Elephas maximus indicus: one gene and its partner. The main gene of each other region encodes a partner of the protein of the gene in region 2 in a complex. Links are inferred from orthologs where the notes say so. Each region holds a gene or a part of one and is shown on either strand. Other genes may lie near its edges.

What was found. The genes of interacting proteins can lie anywhere in the genome.
Region 1: the proteins of GNAI2 (region 2) and P2RY12 are in contact, whole or in part, in a cryo-EM structure (PDB 7XXI), measured with the Homo sapiens proteins. The link is inferred for Elephas maximus indicus from reciprocal best matches to the Homo sapiens genes GNAI2 and P2RY12. Residues at the interface, in NP_002061.1 of Homo sapiens: Arg24, Glu28, Ala31, Arg32, Leu195, Glu319, Ile320, Tyr321, Phe335, Phe337, Asp338, Ala339, Thr341, Asp342, Ile344, Ile345, Lys346, Asn348, Leu349, Lys350, Asp351, Cys352, Gly353, Leu354, Phe355; in NP_073625.1 of Homo sapiens: Phe59, Asp121, Arg122, Lys125, Thr126, Pro129, Phe130, Thr132, Asn134, Pro135, Ile212, Leu216, Ser219, Tyr220, Arg222, Thr223, Arg224, Val234, Lys237, Ile241, Leu301, Cys302, Lys303.

What each region holds. Positions count from the first base shown.
Region 1 is NC_064841.1:8,553,585-8,557,331, reverse strand, and holds the start of P2RY12 (P2Y purinoceptor 12), read right to left. Parts: upstream 2,666-3,747; 5' UTR 2,527-2,665; intron 2,088-2,526; coding exon of another isoform or gene 1,952-2,087; intron 1,431-1,951; coding exon of another isoform or gene 1,321-1,430; intron 44-1,320; coding exon of another isoform or gene 1-43. Other genes in the region: MED12L (mediator of RNA polymerase II transcription subunit 12-like protein), read left to right, coding at 1-43, 1,321-1,430, 1,952-2,087, 2,888-3,049. UniProt on the Homo sapiens protein: Receptor for ADP and ATP coupled to G-proteins that inhibit the adenylyl cyclase second messenger system. Not activated by UDP and UTP. Required for normal platelet aggregation and blood coagulation.
Region 2 is NC_064838.1:54,587,840-54,591,586, forward strand, and holds the start of GNAI2 (guanine nucleotide-binding protein G(i) subunit alpha-2), read left to right. Parts: upstream 1-923; 5' UTR 924-1,043; coding exon 1,044-1,161; intron 1,162-3,747. UniProt on the Homo sapiens protein: Guanine nucleotide-binding proteins (G proteins) are involved as modulators or transducers in various transmembrane signaling systems.

The DNA of each region.
Region 1 (3,747 bases), on a different chromosome or scaffold from region 2:
GCGGCAGATGATGCACGAAGCATTGCAGCTTCGTCTAAATTTGGTAAGAGACATTTCTAGTATTTTCCTCCTATTAAACTGATGGACATGTGAAAATACCTCCAGCTTTCGGTTTCCACACTATGTTCAAAGTCTGTAGTATGAGGCAAGACCTTCTACTGTTGGCTTTCTCTGACTACTTCCCTCTCTCTCTCAAGCATTTTCTTTTCCTCCCTGCTTTCCTTCCTGTCTGGTCTGACTTCTAGTAGTAGATACTTAGGCATTGGTCTGCCCTTTTCACCAGCCCACCCCGGGAACTGTCTCCTCTTCAGTTTGTGCTAAGAGTACGTTTGAGAGGACTACGGTTTTGAGATGTGTTAGTTTTAACTGTATGTATTTTTTTAAACATCCTTTTGAGTCAATATTTGGTCAAACTTTTCATCAAACTGATCATTTCAAAATAAATTCCACCTCGAGGCTTCACAGAAATTCAACATTTCTCACCCATCGCATATTGTTTTAAATTCTTCCTTTCCCATTGGACAAGTCCAAATGAAGGCTCCTCTGGAGGCTGACTTGCTTGGTGTTTTTGGTGGTTGTTTTTCACCTGATCCCCACATGTGAATGGGTAGATCTGCTGGACAAGCCTTCTGTCCATTCTTAATTCTGTGTTACTGGGTGTTCCAAGTGTTACTATGATAGGAGCCTTAGATTCACTCTTAATCGGACGCAAAGCTGGATATAACCTGTTACATGGTTTTGATCTCTTCAGATTCAGTTAGACTACATTTCTATCATAAAAGTGGAGCTCCTGAAATACTAGCAACAAAAGAAAACCTACCATTGGCATACGGTTTACACCAATGCCATGCCAACCTCCTGGCACTGTGCTTTTATCCCCTTTTGGTCACCTGTATGAACTTCTGCCCATGTGGCCCTAGAATGAAAAACTTACGTTAACCTCCTCCATGTTTTTTTTTAATGACCAACTTCCTATGGTAAAGGAACTAAAAAAATGAAATGGCAAATATGTAGCTAGGAGAGAAAGAACAAAAAACCAAAGCCATTGCCATCGAGTTGATTCTGACTCATAGCGATCCTGTAGGACAGAGTAGAACCACCCCATAGAGTGTCCAGGGAGAGCCTGGTGGATTCGAACTACTGACCTTTGGTTAGGAGCTGTAGCACTTAACTACTATGCCACAAGGGTTTCCAAGGACAGAAAGAAGACAGGATAATCCATAAACTAGAGGTTTTTTTTTTTTTTAACTAATTGAAATCCAGCTACACAAAGTGGCAGGAGTGGTAATGCGATGTTTTTTGTCCTGTTTTCCACGCCAGGTAGGAGGAATGTTTGACACGGTGCAGAGGAGCACCCAGTGGACAACAGACTGGGCTCTCCTGCTCCTTCAGATAATTACTTCGGGAACTGTCGACATGCACACCAACAAGTAGGTTTTCATATTTCACGTTTCTTTTGCCCCGAGTGCATGCCATAAACTTTCATATGTTGTTGTTGTTAGGTGATGTTGAGATTCCCACTCATAGCAACCCCATGTAAGAGAGTAGAACTGCCCCATAGGGTTTCCTAGTAACCGAAAACATCCCTAGTCTTTACCGGAGCAGATCACCAGGTCTTCCTCCTATGTAGCGGCTGGTTGGGTTGGAATTCACCGTTAGCAGCCAAGCACTTACCTGTCACATCGCCAGGGCACCTTAAACTTTGATATAAAAAACCAAACCCATTGCCATCGAGTGGATTCCGATTCAGAGCTACCCTATAGGACAGAATAGAACTGCCCCATAGGGTTTCCAAGGAATGGCTACCAGGGCCCATTGCTGCAAATTCTGCTACATCTTATTTTCTTAGATACTATTACAAACTTTTGTGCTTTGAAGAAGAATGCTCAGTTAATTAAGTGGACCTTGGTTTTGCTTTAAGATGAAAATAATTATTTTCTTTCACCTTTAGTGAACTATTCACAACGGTTCTTGACATGCTGGGTGTTCTAATTAATGGAACTTTAGCCTCTGACCTATCGACTGCATCCCCAGGGGGATCTGAAGAGAACAAGCGTGCGTACATGAATTTAGTAAAGAAACTAAAAGTAAGTTTGTGATCTCCTTATCTTATGAGAAAACATATGGCTTTGTTATAGTGTTTTTGTTTTATTTTACAGCTTGGTAAATTAAGTGTTATTGATTGCATCCAACTTAATAGGATTAATTTTTTTTTAAGTCACAGCTTGCCAGTACCCCAAAATTATAAGCATTATAGTCTTCAAGATTTTTTTTTTTTTTAACAGAAGTATATTCACAACATGTTTAATTTTTTAAAGAACTTGAGAAATCCATGGTCAAATATAGAAGCAGAATGCAAACATTAGATTTAGGCTAAAACCGTGCCTGGACTGGCCCTGGTAGTTGAAAGCCGTATTCATTGAGCCTTCCGAATCTGGTCCATTTGGTAAAGCGCTAACACAGCCTTTGCAATAAATGGTAAACTAACAACAGGAAAAGAAAGGCAATATATCTCGCCTACCTTACCAGTAAAATACCCAGCAGTTCGTTACCTTGTAGTCTGACTGTGAATGCAAGAAAGCTTTCCTTCCACGGTGCAGCTCCTCATGCCTTCTGACTGTGAATTCTACTTGGGATTTTTGTCAGTTCAGCATCACCGATGTCCGTTGTGTGACTCATGTGCCTTTGCATTTGTTCTATTTTCTGCTTAAATAGAAGAAACGAAACATACTCACCCCTGTAATTTGGAGCTGCTTTTCTTAGACCATGTTCAAGGCTAAAGAACACCCCAGCTGTAGAAAAGGAGATGTAGTGTAGGGAACTTCCTTCTTGTTAAGCTTTTGCCTTCGTTGTAATTTCTGCCCTGCTTTTCTCTTTCTGCTTTTAGAAGGAGCTAGGAGACAAGAGGTCCGAAAGCATCGACAAAGTGCGGCAGCTGCTACCTTTGCCAAAACAGACGTGTGATGTCATTACTTGCGAGCCGATGGGTTCCTTGATTGATACAAAAGGAAACAAAATCGCTGGATTTGACTCCATAGATAAAAAACAGGCAAGAGTACATGTTTTTCCCTCACAAAAATATATACCGGCTTATGAACATCTAATACTTTTTGTCTTCCTGAAGGGGACATGAAACATCTCAATTTTGTCGTTTCTCGATATTTCTAAAGCTTTCGCTTCTTTTTAAATGCAGTAACATTATCATATAAATCAGCCACATCTGTGTAGCTCCTCATTTAAAAATTTTACCGGAATTTATGTACATTTCTGAAGCCCACCGAGAACGCTAACTTAAAAAAAAGTTTAAAAAGAAAAAAAAAGCGAAGACCAGTTTTGATTTTACTATAGAATTAGAGGCAGAATCTGTTTAGATAAGAAAAATTTTTATTGATAAAGGTCTTCATGTCACAGGCTATTCTGAGTGAAGAAGTCCCTTCAGTGAGATGGTATTTCATGTTCTAACCGATCAGATAATATGCAACGAACTCTTGTTTTGTTAAAATATTAACTAAGCTTCTGTGGCACGTGAGAGGAGCAGGCAGTCACTCTTTCAATGAACGCTGAGTAATCACAGACTTTGTGCGACCACACTGGCGACAGCAGAGCCCTCCCCTCCAGGAGAAGCAGGAGGCAGTTACAGTGTGGTGAAACTGATGTGTGAGGACTGCACCGCCAGAGCTCCATACATGTACATACACATATACACACACAGGTGAGGAGGAGGTGGTCACAGCAGGGTCTCCAGAA
Region 2 (3,747 bases):
AGGCCATGCGGCTGCCACCACCACCCAGTGGGGACAGGCCATGGGAGGATAGGCCTTGGGGTTGTGGCCATGGTCAGAGGTGGACAGACTATGGAAAGGATAGGCCATAAGATCGTGGCCACGTAGGTTTCCAGAAGTACTATGGCAGCTGTCTCTCTCCCTTGAGTCCTGGTTGCCATGTCCAAGGCTGGAGTCCAGAATGGCTGCCTGCAGGAGGACACCTCCCGGCAGATCAAAGAAGGATGGATAAGCTTTGGGTGAATAGAGGAAGGCACCTTTGCTGAGGGAGACAGCCTGGACAAAGGTGTAAAGGTAATTGACTTTATTTTCTTTCCTTTTTTTTTTTTTCCTGCAACTCAAGAAAGAGGCAAACCTGCCTTAAGATTGAGAAAACCGTAGTTCAGGGAGGCTCCAGGGTTCCTTAGATCCTAAAGAAGTTTATTGGATTCAATAACTTTAGCAAGTGACGAAGTCACGCCTCCTCCACTCCACTCACCCAACTCGCAAAAGCCCGGAGGGCGGGTTCCTGCCCAGCCCGCGAGATGCACCGGATTCCCACCCTCGGGCTACTAGATCCGCCCGCCCCGCCTTCGGGCCTCAGAGCTCCTGGCGCTCGGTTCCGAACCCATCCGGGGCCTCGCCCCGCCGGCAGCCCGCCGGGAGCCCAGTCGTGGACTGGGCTCTACCTTTAGTGCTGTTCTTCGGCGCGGCTCCGCCTCCAGCCCAGGCCTGAGCCTGGGCTGCGCCTAGCTTCGCCCTTCCCTCTGCCCTCGAGCCAATCACTGGCCCCAGGTCTCCTCTGGCCCCGCCTCCGGACCCGCCCCGGCCCAGTCCCGGGCCCGTCTCGTCCCGGCCCCACCCCCGGCCCGCCCCGCCGTCGGTGCGCCGCGGCCGAGAAGGCGCAGCCCGCAGACGCTCGGAACTGCCGACCCGAGAGCTGCCCGCAGAGGGCCGGCGGCGGGAGCGGAGTGGGTCGGGCGGGGCCGAGCCGGGCCGGGGGCCGTGTGGGGGCCGGACGGCGGCCAGGCCGGGCGGACAGCGGGATGGGCTGCACCGTGAGCGCCGAGGACAAGGCGGCGGCCGAGCGCTCCAAGATGATCGACAAGAATCTGCGGGAAGACGGCGAGAAGGCGGCGCGGGAGGTGAAGTTGCTGCTGCTGGGTGAGGCCGCGCCCCACGTTGGAACCCCCGATTCCCACTCAGTTCCCCAGACAAGGACTTCAAACTCCCAGACAAGGGCTTCGAGCCCCTCGGCCCGGCCTGAAACCCTAGCCCGGACTCCCAAATAAGGGTCTGAAACTCTGGGTCTGCCTAGACCTCTGAGGGTAGCCCAGACTCTATATCAGACCCTCCAACTAATCCTAGACCCCCAAATCCCAAACCCAGGCACTAGTCGGATAACATCAGCTGTCCAGAACCCTTCTTGACCATTCACTCTTGCTGACCAACCTCTCATACCCCCAGAGCCTCGGCCTTGTCGTTTCATCCTTCCAGAACCCCACCCAGCCCTACCCTCAAGCTTTACCTGTTTTCCCCACCTGCTCCCCCATATTTCTATTGAGCATGAGCATCCCCAGACCTTCCCAGGCGCCCATCCACTCCTTTCCGATCTGTGTCCCATTTCTACTCTAGACTCTATATCCTCCACCTGTACCCTCCAACCCCAAGGGACCTCTCAAGTGAGAGCCCGTAACTGCTCATGGGCCCTCTTCAGCCAGAACTCCCAAATGTGCAGAGGCCCCTGGTCTCCGACCCTCAAGTCCCCTTTTGCAGGCATCACTACTGCAGTGCTCTGCTTCCCCTCCCCTAAATCCCCTCCCACTCAGTGGCCTTCCCCAGGTTCCTCCACCTCCCCTGCACCAGGTAGGCTGGGCTGAAAGGAGGGAGCCCAGGGGCTAGGGACCACCCAGGCTGGGTTAGGCAAACCCCCAAGGAACTGGAGCAAGGCCCCCAAGGGCCAGGCTCAGACAGGGGCCAGTCCTCAAGCCTCCCGGAAGGTTCCGCTTGCTATATGTTTTCAAGTTTCTAAGCCTCATCCCGGCCGGCGAGGGGGGAGGCCAGGGAGGGATGCCTGGGTGTCTGGGGAATGGGGGGGGGGTGTGCGTAGTAAGGATTGAGACCGCCTCCAAGGCCAGGGAAGATGGTGGCTGCTCGAGGAGTGGGGGGAAGTGGAAGTGGTGAGACAGCCGACATATTGCTGCCCCTGCGGGCAGGCCAAGGAAATCTGCTGACGATGATGGGCTTCCCAAAGCTGCACTTCAGGGCCGAAGGGCTGGGACTCAGCCTCTGGGAGAGAGTGACCCTGTTGGATCTTGGGGCCCTGTAAGGGGAGTGTAGTGGACCAGCTGAATGAGGAGCTGGGGGCTGCTGAGGGTAGGCCAGGATGTCTCTGATCATCTGAACCAGCCTTTTGCCGAGATGTGGGCCCAGTGTGCATCCCTGTCTAACCTGCCACGGGGGCAGGTGTGGGGCCCAGCGGTTTCGTGCTTTCAGGGTAGGGGGTTAAGGAGGCCCCTGCAGTGGCGTTGGAGGCTGGACAGTGTGTGTGTGGCGGGGGTGTGGCCCCTTAGCCCCAGTCGCCTTGGGGTCCCCAGGCTATGAAAACCTGGGATTTTCAGGCAGTGCTTGTGGCTGAGAGACAGTGTGTCTGTCCATCATAGGCCCATCTGTTGACTGTCCCTGAGGGCCCAGCCTCGGGGGCACGGCCCCGAGGTTTCAAAATGGCATCCGCTCCGTTGCCGCCGCGGGGAGGAAGAGAAGGGGCGGGAAGGGGCGGCGGCCCAGCCTCCTGGGCTGCTTTGCGTTGGGCGCTTGCCTCTTCCTGTCTCTGCTGCTGCGAGTGCGGCCGCAGTGAGTGGGTGTCGACGCAGTGAAATGCCCGTCTCTTCTGCCTGCCGGGCCTGGGGAGGATGCTTCCGGTACTGCTGCCTCCCAGTGCCCAGACCAGAGCCTCTAGCCAGCTTCTTCCTGGGTTGATTGTGGTCATTATGGTGGCTGAGAAGACTGCTGGGCTGGGTCATGGTGCGGTGGGGGGCGAAGAGGGGGAGCAGAGTACAGGGCTCCTTGCCTGTTCTGTCCTGACCCCGGAAGGGCCCCCCATCCTGCCGACCTTGTCCCTTGAAGCCCAGCTGTGCTTTTGGGGCAGGCCAGGTGGGACCCAGCAACACCTCCCACATTGGGATGTTAGCAGTCAGGGGTACAGGGGCCAGCTTAGCACTTTTTAGCCTGGGGAATCCAACCCAGCATCCTGCACCTTAGGCCTTTGCTTCCTCTGTGAAATGGGCTTTCTGGGCTTGAGCCAGAGGAGTGCCATAGAAGTGCCTGGGCCCAGGTCAGGGAAAATAGGGCCTCATGAAGGTTCTTGTTGAGGGTGTGAAGTGGGAGCTAGAAGGACCCTGCAGAGGGTGCTCTGTAAGGGTCTGGGAGACCAAGCTCTACCTGAAATTGAGGACCTGATCTGCCACGACTGCCTGGGGAGGAGTCACCACTGAGCCTTCCCTATCCAGGTACAAGATGGTAATGGGTGCCCAGTTGTGGCAAGTTCAGACTACTGGGCACCTGTCCCACATAGCGGAAGAGACTGTCCAGGCAACGGGACTCAGGCTGGGCATTTGCCAGCCTTCCCTCCCAGCCAGAGCCCGCCTGCTGCCCCACCCACATACTGGCTCTATCCTGTCCTGGGTAGCCCTGCCAGCAGGCATATACAGTCACTGTCACTGGGGCAGAGGCAGATGTGGTACACACTGG